Caenorhabditis elegans: one gene and its partners. The protein of the gene in region 3 interacts with the protein of the main gene of each other region in a pairwise test. Each region holds a gene or a part of one and is shown on either strand. Other genes may lie near its edges.

The links.
Region 1: the proteins of madf-5 (region 3) and T22C8.3 interact in a two-hybrid assay, tested with the Caenorhabditis elegans proteins (one large-scale study listed by BioGRID).
Region 2: the proteins of madf-5 (region 3) and zip-12 interact in a two-hybrid assay, tested with the Caenorhabditis elegans proteins (one large-scale study listed by BioGRID).
Region 4: the proteins of madf-5 (region 3) and pix-1 interact in a two-hybrid assay, tested with the Caenorhabditis elegans proteins (one large-scale study listed by BioGRID).

Annotation. Positions count from the first base shown.
Region 1 is NC_003280.10:8,619,884-8,623,895, forward strand, and holds T22C8.3 (C2H2-type domain-containing protein), read right to left. Parts: upstream 2,101-4,012; 5' UTR 2,092-2,100; coding exon 1,947-2,091; intron 1,862-1,946; coding exon 1,517-1,861; intron 1,260-1,516; coding exon 1,048-1,259; intron 969-1,047; coding exon 777-968; intron 729-776; coding exon 663-728; 3' UTR 502-662; downstream 1-501. Other genes in the region: T22C8.4 (C2H2-type domain-containing protein), read right to left, coding at 2,672-2,722, 2,773-2,961, 3,021-3,232, 3,336-3,609.
Region 2 is NC_003281.10:12,325,945-12,332,781, forward strand, and holds zip-12 (BZIP domain-containing protein), read left to right. Parts: upstream 1-1,722; 5' UTR 1,723-2,002; coding exon of another isoform or gene 2,003-2,041; intron 2,042-3,519; 5' UTR 3,520-3,520; coding exon 3,521-3,868; intron 3,869-4,628; coding exon 4,629-4,928; intron 4,929-5,720; coding exon 5,721-5,873; intron 5,874-6,096; coding exon 6,097-6,318; 3' UTR 6,319-6,330; downstream 6,331-6,837.
Region 3 is NC_003280.10:14,571,768-14,577,090, reverse strand, and holds madf-5 (Alcohol dehydrogenase transcription factor myb/sant-like protein), read right to left. Parts: upstream 3,477-5,323; 5' UTR 3,446-3,476; coding exon 3,144-3,445; intron 2,875-3,143; exon of another isoform or gene 2,682-2,874; intron 2,604-2,681; coding exon 1,898-2,603; intron 1,284-1,897; coding exon 1,182-1,283; intron 1,128-1,181; coding exon 966-1,127; 3' UTR 530-965; downstream 1-529. Other genes in the region: C01G12.13 (uncharacterized protein), read right to left, coding at 44-134.
Region 4 is NC_003284.9:13,725,688-13,733,333, reverse strand, and holds the start of pix-1 (SH3 domain-containing protein), read right to left. Parts: upstream 6,042-7,646; 5' UTR 6,033-6,041; coding exon 5,961-6,032; intron 5,851-5,960; coding exon 5,724-5,850; intron 5,680-5,723; coding exon 5,635-5,679; intron 5,583-5,634; coding exon 5,447-5,582; intron 5,054-5,446; coding exon 4,958-5,053; intron 4,914-4,957; coding exon 4,791-4,913; intron 4,737-4,790; coding exon 4,607-4,736; intron 4,364-4,606; coding exon 4,304-4,363; intron 4,216-4,303; coding exon 4,061-4,215; intron 4,014-4,060; coding exon 3,883-4,013; intron 3,817-3,882; coding exon 3,543-3,816; coding exon of another isoform or gene 3,539-3,542; intron 3,437-3,538; exon of another isoform or gene 3,348-3,436; intron 2,984-3,347; exon of another isoform or gene 2,894-2,983; intron 2,577-2,893; exon of another isoform or gene 2,467-2,576; intron 2,024-2,466; coding exon 1,911-2,023; intron 1,838-1,910; coding exon 1,561-1,837; intron 178-1,560; coding exon 102-177; intron 39-101; coding exon 1-38. Other genes in the region: K11E4.6 (G_PROTEIN_RECEP_F1_2 domain-containing protein), read right to left, coding at 7,331-7,498, 7,545-7,646.

The DNA of each region.
Region 1 (4,012 bases), 6.0 Mb from region 3:
ATCCTCAGAAAACAAAGCTACAAAAATTGTTGCGTAGGTGGATAAACGGTTTCATAGTAAGAAAAATATCCGATTGAGAGAAGGAACAGAAAAAGATAAGAAATACAAATAGATATTTAGTTTTGTCTGTGTGCCTACTTATCTACTTGATATGTACTCGAGTACTCGATATGAATATAATTTTATAAATATCGTAAAATTTGCACGAGGATTCACAAAAAACTGTTTCATATGAAATTGCGTTGTTTCAAATATTTTCAGCACTCGTAGTTTTTTTGTTGGTATTTTCTGCTCAGAATATTTTCAAACTAAGAAAATGTCAGTATAATTAAATAGGCTTTGCCATGGTTATTTTGTGATGTATCCAGCAGGAAATTGGTATTTTAGACGCAACAATGCACACACGACAACAAAATCTCACACCGCACCACATACAATTGCTAAAACCAATCAGATGAATTTCCATTTGCACTTGATATTTGTTTTGAAATTAGAATATTCTAAACTTATTTTGAACAATTTATTCATCATGGAATGAAATGTACATTAATACAAATTACAGTGAACAAATATAATAGCCGCAAATTTTGTGAGAGATCGCGGAAGTTGTATAGTTTTCAATAAATTAATTTCAATTCGTGCAATCGTTATCGTGGAAAATCTCATTCATCTGGGAAATCATCAAAATAGTCCAATTCGTCCGAATCGTCCGAATCAATTCCTGCTAACTGGAAAAATACTTTTTAAATAAAATCAAATAATTAATAGTTACTAACCTCTCTTTGTTTCTTTTGCTCATATTTTGCTAACATTAAATCCTTAGTGATATCCAAAGACGTATCGAATCCAACAACTCCTTTTAAAGTGAATTCGTATGGCATTCCTTCTAAAGTTGGCATTGGGAGAACGGGATTTTTTGCAGCTTCTTGAAGTTTTCGCACGAAATCAGGATACACCTTTGAGAGCATCTGAAATTTTCAAAATAATGAGAAATTAATAAAAAATGTAAAGACGTTACCACTATTAAAATTTAATATGAAAACTCACACTATCATGTAGACTGAGTTTCATTTTATCATAACACTTCTCTAGGTGCACTCTCAAATTATACTTAAACTTAATAGGAGTGTTACAAAGTGAGCAGTATACATCTGGAACGTCTCCATGCGATTTCATATGACGCTTCAGTTTGTCCGGAGTTGAGAAAAGAAGTAGACATTCTGGACATTGACGATGTCTTTGCTTTGGATCAAATGCTCCTGGAATATAGATGTTTAAACTAATTTCAAACTAAAGTGAGATATTCTTCATCACATATGAAGTGCGCCAATTTACCCCAAATTTCAAAAACATGTCGTTTATATTTTGTTTTATAATCTATTCAAAACTTAAACTCTTCTCGAAATCTGATATGCAAGCTAATTTCTGTTTTTTGAATAGGTGTGAAAATGAACCGAATAAGTTTTTGATGACTATGTATATAGATTTTTAAAAAATATTATTATTTATAACTCACTTTGCTTTACTCCGTGTTCTCCGTCAGTTTCTTGCTCTTCTGCGATAGTATCCCGATTTGGCTTTATAGTCCTTTTTCGATTTTTTGACCCTACCATCATTTTTCTTTTAGATGGGTACAATGTCAACTCGTCTTCCAAATCATCATCTCCTTCTTCCTCTTCTCGGACTTTAATTTGTTTCGCCGATTTTTTAAGTATTGCATTGACTTTTTCAGTAGTGCTTTCTTTGTCTTTTCGAGTTTTTTGAGTCCTCAAAACACGATCTTGAATCGTTGACGTTGCCATTCTTTTTGATTTTTCAAATGTTTTTCTATTTGTTTCTTTATTCTGCTTGCTTGTGACATCTAAAGCTTTAAAAATGAAGAAAACATTGAAGGTCACAAATTAATAATCATGCATTGCAATAATCATACATTTTTAAAATCTCACTTTTATTTTTATTTGCCGGTTCGGAAATTGGGAGTCTTTTTGTTTGGTTTTGTATTTTATGAGCAATTTCCATGTTGCTATCTTGATCTAAATCAATAACAGGCTCTTTTTGCGTGGTATTAGCCAGTTGTTCGGTGGTTGCCATGACTGAAACAAAATTTTCAAAGTTTGTTGGTACATAGCTTTTCATGAAGAATCATCAATTTAAAATGTACATAAGACAAAGTATAAATGTAAGCATTTTTTCATAATTTTTGAGTATATAATCAGTCCTTGTGCTTTATTATAATTATCGATCGTCACTATGACAACCAACGAATAGAAATCGAGAAATTAAACAGATAATTTAGTTGGATGAGAGAAGAAAAAACTGATAAAAGCATGAGAGCTCAGCTGTGTGAGCTCAAATTTGCGGTGTTTGAAACATGTAGTTCAATAGAGCGAATTTGAAATGGACGGGTGGGGGGTCTTGTATGTGAGAGAGAAGAACGCGGTAGTCTCACTGGAAAAAATGTTTAGTAACACGAGAATATAGTTTGCTAAAGTTCCAAAATTATTTGCCCGATCCAAGCTATACTTTTAAGTTTGATGCTTCGAATTAATTTTCAAAAATAATTCCGTATGATGTTTATTAACGAGAAAAAATGTAGATTGAAATACCAGCTGTGGCAAAATGAACAAAGAATTGACAATTATGAAATTCCATAACGAATACAAATATCTAATCACTTCTCATCAAACAAATTGACATCGTCTAAGGCGTCCTCATCTTCTGACTAAAAAAATACTATTATCATAATGTTACGTATAACTGCAAATTACATACAAAAACGTCTGTGGGATATTTCGGGAGCATCACATCCAAATGAACATCAAGACTCATATCGAATCCAGTGACAAATGAATATCGATCCATTCTGTATGGCATTCCATTCAAAGTTGGCATTGGAAGAGACGGATTAACTGCAGCTTCTTGAAGTTGACGTAAGTAGTCCGGGTAAGCTTTGGCGAGCATCTGAAAAAAGTTTTCGAAATTCAAAATATAACACATTTTGCTTAAAAGTTTCAACTCACACTGCCTTGTTCCATTTCTTTCTGGCTCGGTTGACATTTGTTCATATGTTGCTTCAAGTTGTATTTATACTTGATTGGAGCATTGCACATTGGACAGTATACCTCTGGCTCATCTTTATGAGAATGGTCATGGCGTTTTTTCTTATCAGCATTTTTAAATAATGCAAAGCAGATATCACATTGGAGAGCTCGAATTTTCGGGTCTTCGCTTGCTGAAAACCTTTCGAGTTCAATTTTGGTAACAGTTAAGGTTTTGATTGTGGGATGATAAAGTGATTTACAGAATGTTGAGCATATTTATTTTGGTTAACTTACGAGCTCCAACAATTTTGTTCTTCTTTGCTGCAGCTGTTTCAGATTTCTTCTTCAAAGTCTCTTCTCGTTTCTTCAATCGAGCTTTTTCTTTCTGTTCCTTTTCCAATTTTTTCTTCATCGCGTCTTCCATTCTTTGTATCTTTGCTTCCGATGAAGTTGAAGATTTATCAATTCTTCGTCTTTTGGGAGCAACACCGGATAGCTTTGGTGAGTGATTTTCAATATCCATTTGATCACTACCAAATGAAGTTGATGTTGAATTGCTAGTATTCATATCTGAAAGAAAAACGGGAGTTTGATGCAAATGTCTCAAAATAAAGACATATTTTAAAGAAAATTTAAAAAAAGCTGTTGTGCAATGTGTTAAGAGTGATGTTGAGCAGATGACTATGACCACAACAAGTGAGCAAAAAGTAGAGGGAAACAAGAAAGAGAAGACTGTCATCTTTCCTTTCTTCTGGATATATGTTTATTGCGGTGCGATACTCTGCACGGTGCGAACAGATTGAGGAAATGACCTGACCTTTTTAACTAACAAAACACTTGCAACGACAGTGAAATAGTATTGGCAGACGGGAGAGAAATAGAGACAACAATAGAAATGGAACTGTTTTGAACAATTTGTAAAAATGATAGATTTGATAATTATAAACGATAATTATATAAATTGCAAGTTG
Region 2 (6,837 bases), on a different chromosome or scaffold from region 3:
AAAATTTGCTAAACCACAATTTGGCCGTTTTTCTGGCAAATCGGCAATTCGCCGGTTTGCCGATTTGACGGACATTTTCAATTCCGACAACTTGCCGATTTTCCGGAAATTTGCATGGGCCGCTATTTTTGATAAATTTAGTGAATTCTAGAAAAAAAACTGGAAAACTGGATGCAATATGATAATAAAACTTGATGAAAAAAAGCTTTTTTAGGTTGGTCAATCTATAAAATATTGAAATTCCTATTAAAACGAAAGATTTTGAAAACTAGTTTTCCTACTACTAAAGATTACTTCACCCTTTAAATTTAAAAAACTGAAAAGTCCTCGAAAATTTTTTTAAAGGTTTACATTTTTTTTCGAGCAGTTTCAACTTCCAGATAAACTTTCAGCACTTTTTCAGTTTTTCCAATCCAAATTATAGTTGTTTTCAATCAAATCAAATACTTTTCTATACTTTATCATTAAATGTAGACTTGGAAAACACATTTCAAATCGGCAAGTTGCTGGAATTAAAAATTTCCGGCAAATCGGCAAATCGGCAAAATGTCTTTTTGCCGAATTGGCCAGAAAAACGGCAATTGCCGGATTTGAAAATTTACAGCATATCGGCAAATTGGCAAATCGTCTATTTGCCGGATTGAAAAACTGCAATAGCCGGAAATTTTTGTCAAAATAAAAAAGCAAGTTCTATGAAAATATCTAAACATAACAGGAAACGAATTTTTCAAAAAGGCACAGTTTTAAGTGTTTCCGTCTTTAAAAAAACCCCTCTAAAAATTTCCGGCAAATCTGATATCCGGCAAATGGCAACTCGGCAAATTGCCGTAATTTTTTTTTGGCAAATCAGAAAATTGCCGGAACTGAAAATTCCTGGAAAATCGGCAAATTGTCGTAACTGAAAATTTCCGGCAAATCGGCAAATTGCCGGAACTGAACGTTTCCGACAAATCGGCAATTTGTCTAAAACAAAAATTTCCGGCAAACCGGCAAATTGTCGAAAATGAAAATTTCCACTTCAACAATGAAACATTTTTCCTGTAGGCTTCAGACAAAAATTATATTTCGTCCTTTAATCCTTTTTTAATCAGGTTTCACTTCACTGTGAATCTAATGAATTATATTATTAAAACTGAAAATTCCGAGAATTCATTTGGATAAATTCTAAAATCAGGGTTTCAACTACCAAAATATTACATGGATTCTGCTCAAGAATACATTGTTCTTCATTTTTTCAAACCTTTCTCGAGCCACAGAACCGCTTTTGCTACATGTCCTGGAAAGATTTATCTTTCATTTTTCGCTGTAATGCTTCATTGTAATGCTTCATTGCGTCCCATTTCGGTTTGATCTACAAAAATTGCGGGGAAAGAGACGCAGAGTTCTCAACTGATTTTGCATGGTTAAGAACGTGCTGACGTCACATATTTTTGGGCGAAAAATTCCCGCATTTTTTGTAGATCAAACCGTAATGGGACAGCCTAGCACCACGTGATGCTTCTGAAATTTGGTTTTGGAATGGGTTTCTATAGATACCTTTTTTCAGCTTTTGATATGCCTTTCCAACCCATTTTTATACAATATAATACCTAATTAATCTGTCAATTGCATTTACATCCATCGAATGTACAATTGCGATGTATTGGAAATTACAGCAATCAGTGCCCATCCCCCATCAACAGTCTCTTATCAATCTTGCTAATCACCTTCACTGTCCCCCCCCCCCCCCACTGTCTCAACCACTGCTCAGATACCAAGTATGTCGCACAGTATTTCCTACTCTGTTTTCTCTAAGGCTCTCACATCTTTCCTCTGACTATTTCTCATTTTTTTGATGCTGCCCTCCTCCTCTATTCAATACAATCAAACGATGTCATGATGCAGGCAAACATCATGCATTCACTGTCTTCACTCTTCTTAGCAAGAAGTTGTGTTCTCTTATCACACACACACACACACACACACTGTCTCCCCCACCATTGGTCTCTTGCCTTTTTTTTGACTGACAACGACGATTTTGAATCTAAGGAACTGGGGATAGGTATGTTTTGAAATTTTGGTTAGGAAAATATGGAAGGATCAAGCTCCGCCCTTGATGATTACTGTAGATTCCTGAATGCATCAGTGAGTTCACGATGGGCATCAGGGCTCTTACATTAGGGGCCAAATTGCCGAAGTTCCGAAGTTTCCGCAACCAGAAGCTGCCGGTTGCAGAAACTTTGGCAATTGCCGGTTGCTGGCGACGTGTATGTATATCTCGCGTCCAAAACAGGGTGGGTGGCAATTGTCGTTTGGCGAAATCGGCAAGTCGGCAATTTGCCGGAATAAAAAATTACCGGCAAATCGGCAAATTGCCGGAATTAAAAATTTCCGGTAAATTGGCAAATTGCCGGAATTAACTATTTCCGGCAAATCGGGCATATCGGCAAATTGCCGGAATTAAAAATTTCCGGCAAATCGGAAAATTGCCGGAATTAACTATTTCCGGCAAATCGGGCATATCGGCAAATTGCCGGAATTAAAATTTCCGGCAAATCGGAAAATTGCCGGAATTAACTATTTCCGGCAAATCGGGCATATCGGCAAATTGCCGGAATTGAAAACTTCCGGAAAATCAGCAATATGTCGAAACTGAAATTTCCTTTAAATCGGTAAAATGCCGGAATTAAAATTCCCGGATGATCGGACAAATCGGCAAATTGCCGGACCTAAAAATTACCGGTAAATTGCCGGAATTAAAAAATTCCGGTAAATTGGCAAATTGCCGGAATTAACTATTTCCGGCAAATCGGGCATATCGGCAAATTGCCGGAATTAAAATTTCCGGCAAATCGGAAAATTGCCGGAATTGAAATTTCCTTTAAATCGGTAAAATGCCGGAATTAAAATTCCCGGATGATCGGACAAATCGGCAAATTGCCGGACCTAAAAATTACCGGTAAATTGCCGGAATTAAAAATTTCCGGCAAATCGGCAAAATGCCGGAACTGAAAATTTCCGGAAAATCGGCAAATTGCCGGAATTAAAATTTCCGGAAGATCGGTAAATTGCCGGAATTGAAATTTCCGGCAAATCGGGCAAATCCGCAAATTGCAGGAATTAAAAATTTCCGCCAAATCGGAAAAGCGGCAAACTGTCGATTTGCCGAAATTTCCGGAAAAACGCCTTTTGCCGAAAATGTTTGGCAAATTATGATTTTGCACTTTTTTTTTGGAAATTTCAAAATTTCAATTTTAATCGGCAAACTTTTTTCCTACATTAATGTTGAAAAATCCCTTTTAAAATTTCTGGCAAATCGGCAATTTGCCGAAAATCAAAATTTCTGGCAAATCGGCAAAATTAGTGTTTTGATAAGAATCAGCAAACTTTCTCATAAGTTCGTTACAAAAACAGTCGCGAACCAATAAGCGAAAGACGAGGAACCAATAAGCGAAAGACGATGCGAAAAATTTTTTAAAATGCACAATTGGGCCTGGCCCGAAAGTTTCAGACAAGACCAAAAAATTCCAAATTTTACAGAATGAATAACGAAACAAGTGGCAGTCGTGACATGATTCTAAAACACTTTGACTCCACGCAAAACAACCAGAATTCGGTAAAGCTGGAACACGAGTCGTCAGATAACAATGAATCGTCAGGCTCCCAGAACTTTGTATTCAACTTTTTAATGAGCCAACTGCAAAACATGGGTCCAGTGGAGATAAAACAAGAAGTAGAGGCGAAGATGTTGGATGATATAGAAGATGAGTACACTGATAATAATTACAATGAAGGCTACTCAAAGATGGATACAGATGGGGATTTGGAGTGGGAAGAGGAATTTAAGAAATTGAATAAAGATCCGAGTAAGATGGACAAGAGAGAACAGGTTTGTGTGGATTTTTTACAACTTCTAGTACAAAATTTAGGTTAGATGTACATGCCCGCCTAACGCCTATTTTTTGTAGTGTAGAAAAAGATTTGTTATATCTGAAAATAATTTCCAAATTTTTCTGAAAAGCCTCACTCAAATCAGGATAGCAATTGGGGCTCAGCAAATTTTTTTGTCGACGAATTTGGCAAATCGGCAAATTGATGGTTTGCCGATTTGCAAAAAATTATGATTTCCGGCAAAAAAAAACTGCCGATTTGCCGTTTGCCGGAAGTTTTCAATTCCGAAAATGTACCGATTTTCCGATTTGCCGGAAGCTTTAAATTCCGGCAGTTTGCTGATTTGCCGATTTGCTGGAAGTTTTCAATTCCTGAAACTTACCGATTTGCCGGAAATTTTCAATTCCATCGATTTTGCCGATTTGCCGGAAATTTTCAATTCCATCAATTTGCCGATTTGCCGGAAATTTTCAATTCCGGCAATTTTTCGATTTCCCAATTTTGCCCGAAAAAAATTTGCCGGAAAATTTGATTTTCAGCAAAAAAAAAATGCCGATTTGCCGGAAATTTTGCTTTTCCGCAATAAAACTGCCGATCTGCCGGAATTTTGATTTTCGGCAAAAAACTGCCGATTTGCCGGAATTTTGATTTTCGACAAAAAATGCCGATTTGCTGGAAATTTCAATATCGGCAATTTGCCAATTTGCCGGAAATTTCAACTTTGGCAAGAATATCAATTTTAAATCCAAATTATTCAGGAACGTCACCGTCAAATGGCCAAAAACCGTGAGTACGCCCGAAAGTGTGTTCAAAAGAAAAAAGATCAACGAAAGCATGCGGAAATTCGAAGTAATCAAATCAAAAAACGCATTCAACTTCTCAAAAATAAAACGGCGATAAAAGAGAAAAATGCGAATTTTGCAGTGGATTTGAGAAAAATGATGTCAGAAATTGGAGTAGAACGGCTGAAATTGGAATATGAAAATGAGAAAATGGAATTGAATAAGAAGTTTGCTGAAATGTTTGCACAGGATGAAACTGTTAATTTGAATTTTCATGTAGGTTTTTTCTCTAAATTTCAAAAAAAAAGTGACCAATTTGCCGAAAATTTATTTTGCCGGTTAGCCGATTTGCCAGAAATTTTCAATTCCGGCAATTTGTCGATTTGCCGGAAATTTTCAACTCCTGAAGTTTGACGATTTGCGGAAATTTTCAATTTACCGATTTGCCGGAATTTTTCAATTCCGGCAATTTGCCGATTTGCCGGGAATTTTCAATAACGGCAATTTTCCGATTTGCCAGAAATTATAAATTCCGGCAATATGCCGATTTGCCGGAAACTTTCAATACCGGCAATTTGTTGATTTGTCGAATTGCTGGAAATTTTTCAATTCCTGCAATTTGCCGATTTGCCGGAAATTTTCAATTCCATCAGTTTGCCGATTTGCCGGAAGTTTTCAATTTGCCGATTTGCCGGAAATTTTCAATTTGCCGGTTTGCCGGAATTTTTCAATTTGCCGTTTTGCCGAAAATTTTCAATTTGCCGATTTGCCGGAATTTTTCAATTTGCCGATTTGCCGATTTGTCAAAAAAATAGCGAATAAATAAAAAAGTCCTACTTTAGTTTGAGTTTTTTCAAAAATGCAAAACTGAGAACTGCGACCAATCAGCGATTTGCTCCGCCCACTTTTCCACCAATCAGATCGAGTGGGCGTAGTTCAAAGATGGTGATTGGTCGGGGAGTTCTCCTTAGTTTGTAAATCCCGTTTTTAAACTTTTTTTGTGGAATTTCTGAATTTCCGACTTTTTCTTTTGAAAAGTCAATTTTAAAATTATTAACCAAATTATAGAGGCTCGCCAGTGCTCGAGAAGAATTTGAAAAAGCTGCTGAAGACCTACGTCTAAAAAACGGAGTAATTGGGACTTTAGGTTCCCGAAAAATCCGAGCAAAGCAGCAAATGGAGTGGAGACAGCATTTGTATCAAATATCTGCACATGAACATGTTCGTTTATATAAATTCTTACCTGAAACAGTCAAAATGAAGAAAATCCCGTTAACTGAAACATTGGGGAGAATGCTCAAAAATTGGCCTAAATTAGCCTAAAGTTCTAGTTGAAAAAAATTTTATTTCGAGACGAATCATGTAATTTTAGTTCATTTTTTAGAATTTCCCAATAAAATTGTAAATTTTTCCAGAATATTTTTTTAAAAATAACTTATTACAGGAGCATCATCGTGAGACAAAACTTGCCGAGTTGGCAGACGAATATGTTAAGCAAACGGTACCAAAAGCTGCTCCCCTAGTCACCTCAATTCCTAAAGACATGTTAGATCAACTAATTAAAAACAATAAAACTTTGGATTTGGAAGAGCTGTGCCGTTTTGTTGCTGATAATTTGTGTTTGTTACAAAATGATAATGATGATAAAGAATCTGTTGTTAAATAAATTATGGAATTTATCCGATGGTTGTACTTTTTGAAAATGTGTTCTTATTCATTTATTCTCCTTGTAGTCTAAATATTTTTGCCGGAATGGAACATTTCCGGCAAGTTCGGCGAACCGGCAATTTGCCGGACTGGATATTTTCTGACAAGTTAGGCAAACCGGCAATTTTTCGGAATGGAAATTTTCTGTCAAACCAGCAAATTGCCGAATTTGTAAATTTCCGGCAAATCGACAAATTGCCGGAATTGAAATTTCCGGCAATTCGGCAATTTGACGGAAAGGAAAATTTCCGGCAAGTGCGGCAAATCGGCAATTTGCCGGAAAAAAACACTTCGGCAAGTTGTGGGTTTGCAAGTTTATTTTCTGGAAATTTCAGAATTTCAAAACGATAATCGCAACATTGCCATAATTGAATTTTCTGGCAAGTTAGGCAAACCGGCAATTTTTCGGAATGGAAATTTTCTGACAAGTTAGGTGAACCGGCAATTTTTCGGAATGGAAATTTTCTGGCAAGTTTGG
Region 3 (5,323 bases):
TGGAATCTCCCACGTTTAGTTAGAAACATTAATCCTAACCTGCCCTCTTTCGGTTTCCCTTTCAGACAATTTGAGGTTATAGTCATGAAAAACATGATCGCGCAGATGACGTTGTAGAATAATAATTGATACATTGTGCAACTTTAATTGACCGGTTGGAAAGTTGAAACAAATTGTTGGAAATAATTCATTTTGCATGGAAGATGTTATCGGTTGAAATTGTGGAAGTTCACGTGAAGGAAATTTTTGGAAAAAATGTGGGAAAAATTACAAAATATATTTGATATGATAAAACTTCTGAAAAATGTCTGAAATATTTGGGCAAGAACTTCTGAAAAAAAAAAAAATTTTCGGAAGTTTTTTAAAAACTCCTTTAAAAAACTAGAGTTATCTAGCTGTTTCCAGAAAGGTCTAGCAAATAAAAATTCCTTCTTCTCCAAAAATTAACAATTTCAGGAAAATCTCCAAAATACACAGAACAATTCAGAATCCGCGAGTCGGAGGGAGCACGCGCTCTGTCCAAAACCAAAAAATACACGTTTATTATAAAAAAATCGTGGTACAAAAATATACAGGCAAGATGATGGTGTTTGTAGAGACTAATTTCAAAAAATAAAAAAAATGCTGAAATTATGGAGGGAACAAAAGAAAAGTGAAAGAATTGCGCACTGACTAGACCGACGGGGAGTGAGAATACACTAAAAACTAGTTTTTGAACATTTTTCGTTTTCTACATTTAATAAAATGAGGAGAGCACCAATAAGAAAACACAAAATAGATATTTTGAAAAATAAAGGAAGTGTTTTTTCAATGTTACAGTAGCCTACCAGAATTTAGGTCTCGACACGAAAATAAATTATGCGCCTTTTAAACCGATCAGGCATATTTTTGCATTTTAGCTTGAAGGCGCAAATCATTTTTTCGTGGGGGGGGGGACCCATATACTACAAACAAAAGACTAATTTTCAAGCCGTTGGAATTTCATTTGCCGTTGGCTCAACTGCGCAATCTTCATCGTGCTCTCCGGTTGGACTATGTGCTGATGGACTGCTACAAGAGTCATCATTGTCTACAATATGGTGGGTGTCATCGGTTTCGTCCAGTAGTGACATTATTTGGTGACGGACCTGAAAAAAGTTGGAGTCTGAACTTGTTGAATATATCTGAAAACAATCTCTCACCTTTTTCCGTTTTTTCGGGTCCATTTTCTTAAGCTTCAACCCAATTATCCGGCTGTACAATAAATCCTCATCATTGAGCCATTCAAGAGCAACCCGACCGACCTGGAAAAAAGTTATATTATTCTAGAAATTCTTTCTTAAAATTTCTAATGTAGGAACACGTTATAAATTTTTGAAATTTGCTGAGAAAAAATCCTAATTTTGGTAAGAAAATCCAGAAACTTCGATTTAAAAATCTCTTAAAACTTGAAATAAATATTTAAATTCGAAAAATTTTTTTTAACTAGAAACACTTAAAATGTTTCCGAATATATTTTTTTAATAAAAATTAAATTTTAATAATCTAGAAAGTAATTAAATGTAATTCAGAAAACCAAAAAAAAATTCTGAAAATTATACACTTCAACCTTCAAAAAATCATTCCGAAAAGTTCATTAAAAAATTTTTTAACTTTAACATTTTTTCTTGAAAATCACTAAATTTTCCGAAAAAAGGTAACATTAAAAAAAACAGAACTAAATCCGAAGTTTCCAAGAATTCAGCAAACTATTTTCAATCGCATCTAATATTTTTTACAAAAAATCTAGAATTTTTTTTTAATTTAAGAAAGTTTCAGAGAAATTATTTTAAAAAAATCAAAAATCTCCAAAAAATCCAGGAAAATCACGATCCTTCCGAAAAAAATTTTTTTTACCAAATGTTCCAAACCCGCTCACCTGTTGCAAATGATATCTCATAACATTATCCGCAGTCTGCTGCCTATGCCTATTCCTCGCCGCCTCTTTATAAGGATGGAAGTGGCTCGTAGTGGACGCGGTTGGCGGTGGTGTTGAAGGTCGGAGCGGCGGGATCGCTGCCTCCTCGGATTTCCTGGCTCCATTGAGCATTGAACTCATCCCAGTGAGCTGTGCAGCAAGATGGTGTGCAAATCTAGCCTGATTCGCTGCTATGAGGGACTCCACTGATGGTTTCTGTGGGGTCTGTTGGACCTGCTGGACCTGTTGAGCCTGCTGAGTCTGCTGTTGGCTCTGAGCACTTATAGCCTCCTTGAGCATCGCCATAGCTTCGGATTGACTTTTCACCTTTTCTGGGCCATCTTCCTCTACTTCATCTTCATCTTTTATTTTAAGATCTTCCTCCTCATCTCCATCCCCATCAACTCCATCTAGATTTCCATCGAGACTTTGAGTTCCAGATTCATCATTTTCAATTTCAGGGGATATACTGTCCAATCGTTGGGCGGTTTGTGCAAGTAGTCGGTCTAAAACCGAAGATTCGAGTGCTGGATCACTATCATCATCTTCCATCTCGTCTTTTATTGAATTTAAATTTGGAAAACCGAACCAGCTGAACGGTGTGCCTGATGGCTCATCAAAAGAGTCAGATTTACCAGTTTTTTTGCCTTCATCTGCTGCTTGACCACTGCAAAAAATAGACTTTGAAGATGAGAATTTTAACTTATAATCGCGGAGTTCTAAATTATTATTTTTTACTTTTCAGATTCTTTTTGATATATCTTGAATTAATTTTTTGTAGAAAATTTTAATTTTTTTTCAAAATATTAAATTTCGAATCGATCAGTTTTTTGTCGATAAATTGTTTTTTTTTTAATTTTTATAATTTTTAATTTAAGAAAAAAAAGAATTCTGGAATTTTAATTAAATGTTTTAGTATTTTTGAAGTTTTTTTTTGAATTTGATTTTATCTACAACTTTTGATTTTTTAATGAGATTTTTCAAATTTTTTTTTCTGAATTTTTGAAGTGTTAATTTAGACTCTTTAGATATATTTCAAATTAGGTGAACTTATTTTTTAAATTTCAGTTTTTTGTTTTGATATGCCTACAAACCAAAAATTTCGCGGTTTTTCAACAAAAAAATATTAGAAAAAATATTAAAAAATTAGCTTTGTGATGGCCAGAAAAAAACGAGTTGAAAAATAATTATGAAATTCAATTCTTACATATTATCCTTCAAAAACGGGTCCAACCACGATAATTGATTAAAATAACACCATCTAACAGGTGTCACAAATCCATTTTTAATTGCAATCTTTAATTCTTTCCGATATCGATCCCTCAGCTGCAACCATCGTTTCTTCGCAAACTCTGCCGCACAATTCGGGTCAATATTTTTGGCGATTGATTCCCAAAGTCGTTGACGTTCCATTGTGTCCCCGCTGCCACGTCGTGAATGATTATATAGGCACGGGTACTTACGAACCTCGTTTATCAGACGGGCGTTAAACGCCGGCTGGAAGGCCATCTGTTTGAGTGGATTTAAATTTAGAAGGGGTCTGAAACGGAAAAATTTGAGATTTTTAGAAAAAAAAGGCTAAGGGGAGTCAGAAGCTGGGATAATCTAGAAATGGAAAAAAGGAAATAAGACATAAGAATATATATATATATATACATATATCCGTTTTTTGTTTCAAATGTTGAATTATTTTTGAAAATTATTCTTTTAACTATTTTAATTTGGAGAAATGTAGAAAAAATTGTGTAATTAAAGGGAAATTTTAAAATATTCATATTAAAAAATTGTTAATTTTTGTTTAAAACATTTTCAAAAGATTAATATTTGCAAAACCCAATTTTAAAAAATCTTAAAATTTCTAAAATCAACACAAAAAAATATTTTTTGAATTTTCAGTTAATGTTTTTTAAATCAAAATTTTTCTGAAATATTTCTGATAACAAAATATTGAAAACTGGTACTTTTAAAAAAGAGAATTTCAAAAAAATTTAAATCAAAACATTAATTTTGTCGAATGCCGAATTGTTTTTCAAAATCATTTTCAGATTTAAAAATTTTCTGGAAACTTTAAATTGTGAGATTTTTTAATAATCTAGATTATAACTTTCTGAAATTGCAGAAGGTTACGTTTTAGTACTTTAAAACAAAAATCTTTTTAAAAAAATATTTTAATTTTTTTGTCAGAAATTTAAGTAAATTTTGGCAATCTGCCAAAAAAATCTCTGTAGATCATGCAGAGGAATCTAGACACAAAAAGCCAAAAAGCCTGAGTGTGTACTACGACATGGTTAGTCTTCCAAAATGTAATAAAAAGTTTACACACTCTTTCGTGTCATTTCTCTCTTCTTCAATTCCATCTAAATCTCATGATAAACTACCGTAAGACACAATTGAAATGGTTTAGACTGAAAATCTAGGAGAACCGGTAGTATGTGTGGGTGGAGATGGAGTAGAAGAAGAAGGGGAAGAAGCTCTATGTTTTTTCCGGTGCAGGAAAATTGGAAAATTGGGGGATATTCGGTTTTTTATTTTGCTTTTAGTTGAAGCTTTAAGCGGAATTGGGAATGAAAATTAGAGGGAAATTGGTTGACGAAAGTTGCACAAAGTTGATGAAAATTGGTGATAGTATAGCGAAAGTTAAAATAGACTGAAATTGAACAAAAGTCTGCCAAAGATCTACCACAAGTTTGAGAAAAACGCAACTTCTTGAAAAACACTGGTGAAAATTGATGAAATTTTGGCGAAGGTTGGTCGGAGTTCGTAAAAACCTTGCGGGGATTGCTGAAAGTCTAGAAAAAATTAACAGAAGTTGGCAAACGTTGCTCAAAATGTCGAAGATCTGATAACAGTTGCAGAAAATTGTCGTAGATTCAGAAGAAGTTGTTTCTTGCCGAAAGTCTAGCGACAGTTCGCGAAAGTTGTTTTTAAAAAATATTGAAAGTATAGAAACAATTCAAAAAAGTTGGTCAAAAATTGAGCAGCAGTTTGGAACTATTGCAATTGCTTTTTGAAAGTTGACAAATGTCTAACGAAGGTTGGCGAAAGTTGGCAAAACTTTAGCAAAATCTGATAAAAAGGTATGGATTGTTGTAAAAATAGATAATTCGGGAAAAATGGAAAATGTCATTAAACACAATATCTCAGCAGGGGGTGGCTGGCTGACAATCTCCCCCGGTTAGGCTTCTCCTTCTTTTCTTCCCCCAACACAACCATCTTCATCTCCTTCAAACCGAATCATATCAGATAAGAAGCCGTTGATCCGCCCGAAAAAGGAAGGAAACGAACAAAATCCGGATTGCGGACATCCGAACTGAAGCTGGGGTAGGGGCAAAATAGTGTGGAGCAGCGATAGACGCAGAGGTGGTGGAGACCGGCGGAATGGGATGG
Region 4 (7,646 bases), on a different chromosome or scaffold from region 3:
TCCAGACGACGGCGTGCTTTTTGTTCGGATTCAACAACCTGGAAAAATGAAATTATTGGTGCTAGATGTGACAGACCAGAAGAGAAGAATTTTTCACTCACTTTTGCTAGTTTTTGAAATTCGGTCTGAAGGAACGAAAGTTGATCTTTGATGGCGTACACAGCATCCACAATACTTCTGAAAAAAAAAGAAGAGGTGACAAATGAGCAATGAAACGGAAATCTAGATAGACGAAGAGAGAGCAAGTCGGAGGAATAGATATTGTCGTTGGAGCAAGAGCGAATTGACCATTGGGAAATACTGGTCACTTATTCAAGTTCAAACTAAATACATCCGATGTGCTCAAGGAGTACGACGAATGAAAATGACAGATTTATAGACGATGTCTAACTAAGTTCGATGTACATAAAGTTTTAAAGATAAATTTGAAATGTTTTCTAAATGCACGAATCTTTTTATGTTCGTTGAAGAATAGCTTATAAATTTATTTAAATTACACACTTGTGAAGGGAAATTTGAAATAAAGATTGTTATGGTTTTCACTTAAAGGTCGAAAAAGGTCGAAAACATGACAAAACAAGCTATCCTACTGAAAGTTATCTAAAAAACAACTCACGTCCTGTTTTTCATCAGACAACAATTTCCGATGAACGGCTATAATACTATAATACCAAATAATATCAGTAAACAAGGAAACTACAAAAAATTGTCTCTACAAAAATTATCCCCTCTTCATCTTGTTATCTTTGGGGATACTTGTTTTTCCTTGTCAGCTTATTACTTTTCTTTAAAAGCAGTACGAAAAATAATAACTGAAAATGGACGATATGCAAAACAGACAAAAGAAGAAAAAGAAGAAGCAAACATGACTAGATGAAAACAATCATTATTTACTGGTGATCAAAAATTATATTTTTACAGAAAGTAAATGTTTGATCTCTTTTTGGCTTCGAAATGAAGGGCCTTGTTAGGAATATCACTATTGGCACGTTGTGCAAGGCTGTCCGATTACGGTTTGATCTACAAAATATGGGGGATTTTTGTTGCTAAAAATGTGACGTCAGCACGTTCTTAACCATGCGAAATCAGTTGAGAACTCATTCAGTTTTAAATACACAGTGGAAAACGTTTTGGCCGGTTTTGAATTGAGAACTAAAAAATTGTTCAAAGCTGAGCCACGTGCCCAAATTACTCTACTTGGGAATCAACACTGGACATATTTGAAAAAAAAAAACAGAAATTTTAAAAGAACCTTAGAAAAATCAACTTCTTTACTAAAAAAACATCAATTTGGGGGGGGGGGGGGATTCCAATTTTGCAAAGTTTCTAGATATTTCAGGTTTGCTGAAGTTAGTTTTTCTTATCAATCAATTATCGATTTTCCTATTCGTCCGTTATTTTCCCACCCAATTTTTTCATATACGCCACCCTAATATCTATGATTCAGCAAGAGAAGAGGAAACGAAAAGGTTAAATTTTTTTACAAATTGTGTACAATCTTGACCCTAGAAAAACTGAACTGGACTCTTCTAAGGTCTCATCGTTCAAAAAAAAACTTACTTCTCTTGCAAAACAACTTCATCTCCAATCATCTCCTCCATCAGAATCTTCTCATCTTCTGCAACAATCAAATGTGGTTGTTGATAACTTTCATTTGCATGGAAGTCCGACTGTCCGCCACCAGTTTCCACACAGTATCCTTCCAAAATTCGAAGTGTCTCAAACTCAATCTCCTCATCACGAGCCGCGTCTTTTCGAAGTCGAATGTTACGATCACCTCGTTTGCCGGCGTTCCCGCTTAGGAAAAACGATGGGAACTGGGAGAATTGCAGGTTATCTGAAAAAGATTTTTGTTAGTTGATAATCATAATCACGACAGAGAAAACAATAAATAACAAAATATCTCCTACCTGCAGTATTCCTTGAATTGCGACTGCTTGTTGGCAGCTCAAATCCTTCAGGGAGCACCATTCCGAGTTCATGATCGAACTTCATATTTCCCAAGTTTAAACTGTCATCAAAGCTGAAAATTTCAAAATTTAGGTCTCGTTCCATGTTTTATTTGTTTTTTATCATTATTTTTTATATTGTCCACACAAAAAACTTTTCACCCTAATTTCTCCTATCTCAATAGCCATTGTATCTGTTACGAACTATTCTTCGTGATCTATTGAGTCCGAAATTTCACATGCGACAGTTAGAAAGTCTTCGTGTTTTGATCCGTGAAGAACACACAATTTCTTGTGTTGCCTAAATTGGTGAGCGTTAATGTTGCCAAGTCTTGTTATCCAAAATCGAGGGATCGAAAAACATAGAGATTTTTGGTGAGAAGAGATTTGTCCATCTAATACATAAATACCAATTAATCTAAGTAGTAATTTACATCAAATTTTTCGCTTCATACTCTATCCCATCCCATCAAAATCGTATTTGCAATATCTTTTTGCATACATTTGTCTAGAGGACAAATGCAAAAAAAGGTAAGCCCAATGCGGGGCTCGAACCCGCGACAACCAGATTAAGAGTCTGGTGCTCTACCGACTGAGCTAACCGGGCGGCGATAGGAACCGAGGCGCGTGTAATTTAAAAAGTGAAAATGTCAGGCGCACTTTGTGGCTGTCAGGAAGTGTCTCGCACTTTTTAGTGTAATAGTGTGTTGAAATTTGTTAGGTCGTCGGTCGTTGCCAACACTGTTAAAATAAACAAACCGGCAAAATTGATTTCTCGCGACATTGAAAATTAATTGAATAGCGATACTTTCAAAAAGTGTATAGGATTTAATAAGAAAATTCCTTTAATGTTGAAAAAATATTCCACCTAGAAACTTCGCACCCCAATTTAGAAAAGTGAGTAAATTTTATAGTAAAGTTTTTTTAATGATCATTTGAGATAGACAAAAGCGTAAGCCCAATGCGGGGCTCGAACCCGCGACAACCAGATTAAGAGTCTGGTGCTCTACCGACTGAGCTAACCGGGCGGCAAAAGTAGATGTGGTGCGACCTTTCAAATAGAAATATGTCACGTTTTTCAAGGACAGTAATGTGATTGACGCCACTTGTTCGTCTCGGTATGTGGTATGTACACTTTCACTGAGAAAAAACTGCGTAGCGTGTTTGAACAGATTTCAAAAATTATGTTTTTTTAAATCTGTGCATAAACGCCACGCTGTTTTTTTTCAATACAGTGTTTAATATTCAAAAAAAATTTTTTTTAATTTTTTTCCGTTTTGGTACTACTTTTGAAGTTTTGAGAATAATACAAACTGGTATCACGAATTTAATCTCAAAATTTGGCAAATCATGGAATTTCTTTAAATACTTGTAATAGGAAAACCAATCGCAACGAACAAAAAACTAAGCCCAATGCGGGGCTCGAACCCGCGAGAACCAGATTAAGAGTCTGGTGCTCTACCGACTGAGCTAACCGGGCGGCGAAAAGAAATATAACTTAATCGAAAATAATTGAGGGTTAAACGTTGCGAAGACATTTTTGATAATTGTCTGTTCATTCCAATTTTACACGGTTAACATGAAAACACTCACTTCTTCGAGCTTTTTCTTTTGTTCATCATACTATACTGTTGATCCGAGTTTCCTGGGGGATGAAGTGGGGGTTTTGCGACCAGAGGAGTCTCTGCTCCTTGAGTCTGTGATTGATTCATTGTATCGTTAGCATTTTTGGAAGGTCTCCTCAAGATAGTTGTCGTCGGAGTGATGATTGCCACGTTTTCAGCTTTCGCCAAAGCAACAAGGAATCTCTCCACCTCACCCCCGGTTGAAACCATCGTTAGAGTGAATTCTCCAGTGTTGGGGCGATCTAGAAAAACTTGGGTTACTAATTTGTTTTTTTTTTTAATTTTAATTTTTTATCCGAATATTTTACCAAATGAAATTTCAGTAGCTTCCTTTTTCCGAACAATAAAACCGGACACTGTAAACTTCTCCTTAATGTCGTATGTCATATCCTTGGTGACTTCGAAAAACATAATGTATTTAGTGAACAATGCCACGAATCTGAAATCACTTCTAAATTTGAACAGGTAAAATTTTCGGCAACTCACCGATCCACTGCATCCGCTTTCTTGTATTCCACATTTGCAACACCCACATAGAGAATAGATCCTCGTTCTGACGCTGAAACCACCTTGTCCACTTTTGACACAAACAAGAAGTCGAGTTGGGCTTCTTTCTGCTTACGAAGGGTTTCACACAAATCCTAAAAATAGTTTGATTTTAAAACTTGTTGATCCTAATTCTTGTGAGTCAGTTAGATTTGTGTTTCTAATATTTTTAAAACAACGCACCTTTGTTTCCCGAAAAACTGCCGATCCACGTTGTAAATCTCCACGGTCCGGATGATTCGCCTGAAAATTTTTTTGATGATGATCTCATTGACTCAAAATGATATAAAAATTATTATGCATTAACAACGTTTGTTCACATGAGTAGACTTGATAATTTAACATAAAAAAATTATCATAATAAAATTTTCACAAAAATGATGTATTTTAATTAAACAACTGTGCTTTCTCTATGAAAAAAAATTCCAGAGTTTAATGAATCGATTGACCTATGTTTTTTTTTCTCATTTAGATTCAAATACTCACCGGAACAATTCGCTCAAGCTCCTGGAGCAAGTTGTAGTACCTCTCGACGTGCCGGAGTGGCTCACTGAGTCCTAACACCAATTCCTTGTACTCCCGATCCTGCGACTTTACCACCTTTTCCAACTCCTTCCTGAAAACGCGAAACAATACATTCGATACATTCTCTAGCTCTGTCAAAACTTACTGTTTCTTCTTGAGAACTTCGACAGCGTCTGGATGATTGTCAGCATAACTCATTAGTGCCGTTCTGAGCTCAAGAGCAGCATTCATGAACATTCCACCGACTCTCATTTTTGGAAGCTCCTCACTGAAATAAGAAAGTTGAAGAAGGTTGGAGAAATTAAAACTCACTTTTGCTCACGCTCCAGTTGTTCAAAAAGATCACGTTTCAGAGTGTAAATTACTTCGAAATTCCCAACCAACGTACAGTATTCTGGAGCCGTCAAGCTGAAAATTGTCAAAAATGTATTATTGTCGTACCCAAAAATGAAAATCCACCGGAAATGCAATGGAACTTGATGTTTTTCTCAATGTAAATCTCAAAGTAAATTGTAAATAAATATGAATAATTTAGGTAATAATTTAGGTATACTTTTTTAAAGCTTTAGCTAGACTCAATTTTTTTTTGAAAAATGGGACCTGTGACTGTATTTTGAAACAGTGAGCTACTCGCCCCACTTTTTAAGATACTTTTTTTCATAGCGCAGAGGTGCCCATCATTCCAAATTTCAAGTTATCAATTTTTAGAATCTGGATTGATCAACAAAAAAAGCAATAAGAAAAATCCGCAATGAATTAAATTCACATTTTGAAAGTTAAAAAAAACATTTTAAAACTCACATTTTAGATGCCCCAATTGGAATCAATAGAGATTGCAACGTTTTGAGCAAGCTTTGCATGTACTCCTTTTCCGATTCAATATAACTTTTGAGCACAAGGTCTCGATAATCTGGTTGAGCTCCGACGGATACCACTTCTGAATTTTTAAATTTGAATTGTCTCAACGAGTAAATCTTCATGAGATATACCTTTTGCAGTTGCATTTGGGACGGATCGAGATCGCTGGAGTTTGTCTGCAATTTGTGGGTATTAGCTCGAATTTTCCGATTCAAGTTACCTTTTTCTGTGATGAGAGTTACATAGGCACACGGAAACCATCCGGTCACTCCTTCATGTGTTCCTTCCCACCATCCGCCTTCTTGCTGCTGTGTTATTGTGATGATGTCATCCTTGTCGAAACTTAGCTGAAAATTCGTGGAATGATACTTTTGTCAAAAAGTAATTTAAGTATGTACTATTTTTTAAATTAAAAAAAAATTTCACAAGTTTGAATGTGTGGGAAACAAAACCTCACCTCATCGTTATTTGAACCTTCGAATTGAAATTTCGCTCGAGCCGATAACGGAGAACCCGAACCAGGTTCCATTTTCTGAAAAAATACTGTATTCGGTGAACATATTCGATAAATTTTTAACAAAAAAAATTGAGAAAAATTCAAAATCAATAAATTCTCAAATAACACATTTTTAGTAATTAATAACCCTGTGGAGTTTAAAAATACTGTCGATGGAATCGATAGAACGGGTGAACACTGAGTAAGAAATGCAAACGCGCTCCATCGCACTCTCTGGGTCTCTTTTGCGGGGTGTATCTCTCGTCTTTTCAACCCGTATAGTGGCGGCCCCTCAACGGACTTACGGTGATAAATAACATGTGTTGACCCTTTCTCTTCACATCTCACGAACAAAGTGCTCTTTTTGATGCTCTTTTGAACATTGTTTTGTGTAGAGATGAATTTTTATTTTATAAGAAAGAGATTTATGATGTAAATTTGGAAAGTAACTAAATTCAAGGAAGGAAAACTTCGAAATGCCGGTAAAACTCATTATAATAGCATATTTATCAAATTTGATATCAAATACATTTCAATTTTTTAGAAACAAAACTATAATTTTTTGCATTTTTTCTTATTTTTCGACTGCTCGTTTCCCTTTTTAGAAGTTTTAAAGAATATCCCCAAAAAATTTGAAGTAGGTATAAACATTATTTTTGCGGTGGAACCCATCTCAATGAATCCATGCCACTCCAATTGTAACATTCAAAAAAATTTCAATACTAAGCTATCTTTAAAATTCCACAAAAAACCTAATCAATTTAAGATTTTTCAAATGATGTTAGAGTAAGACAAGAGGATGGCAGACATAGTCGTCTGTGATTGAAAAAGTGAAAACAGAAAACGTGTTCCGATCATATCAGATCGAAACCTTATCATGTTATATCTTTTAACCGAACCCACAAAACTGAACAATTTGTTTGAAAATGATTATAGGACAAGATGTAACAACGGAAGTATTCTGGCTTAGCTATTTTCTGAAAATTGCTACAAAACCACGTATTTGTTGCTTTTATTCAACCACATATTCAAATACATACATACCTATTTAAATTATTTTAAAGAACAGCTTTAGTTTTTCTTTTTTTTCAACAAAAAAAAAAACAAATCCATATACGCGCTCTATGATATAAAAATTGAGAAAATGCCCTATTTAATAGCCCTAAAAACAACAATCCAACAAATAATAGAACACTTTTTATATAAAATATGCAGAATAAGAAATTAAAAAAATATATATTCATTAATTAAATTTATACAATTAAAAAAAAACGATGACCCGAATTTACATTATTCACACAATTTCTAGTCACAAAATATTTATGATAAATTCATTTTCTCTCGGAAATAACGCTCCATTGCCGCTGATATAGATTGAAATAAGTTTGCGATACTCCTTTCCCATTTTGGTTCAGCTCTCGGAGTTGTCTTCTCTGGAACTCGTTCCTGGTGGTCACCAAAATTGTCATAGAAAGTAGCAATGACACGTAAGGAAATATCTGAAATCTCAATTTTGAAATGCTTTACCAGATAGTAATAACTTACAAATGTGTTAATCGCGATAAATTTATAATTTGTGAGACTAAGAGAGTCTCGGAATGCTCTTACTACCATGGCAATTAAAATATAGGCAGAAACAAAGACAGT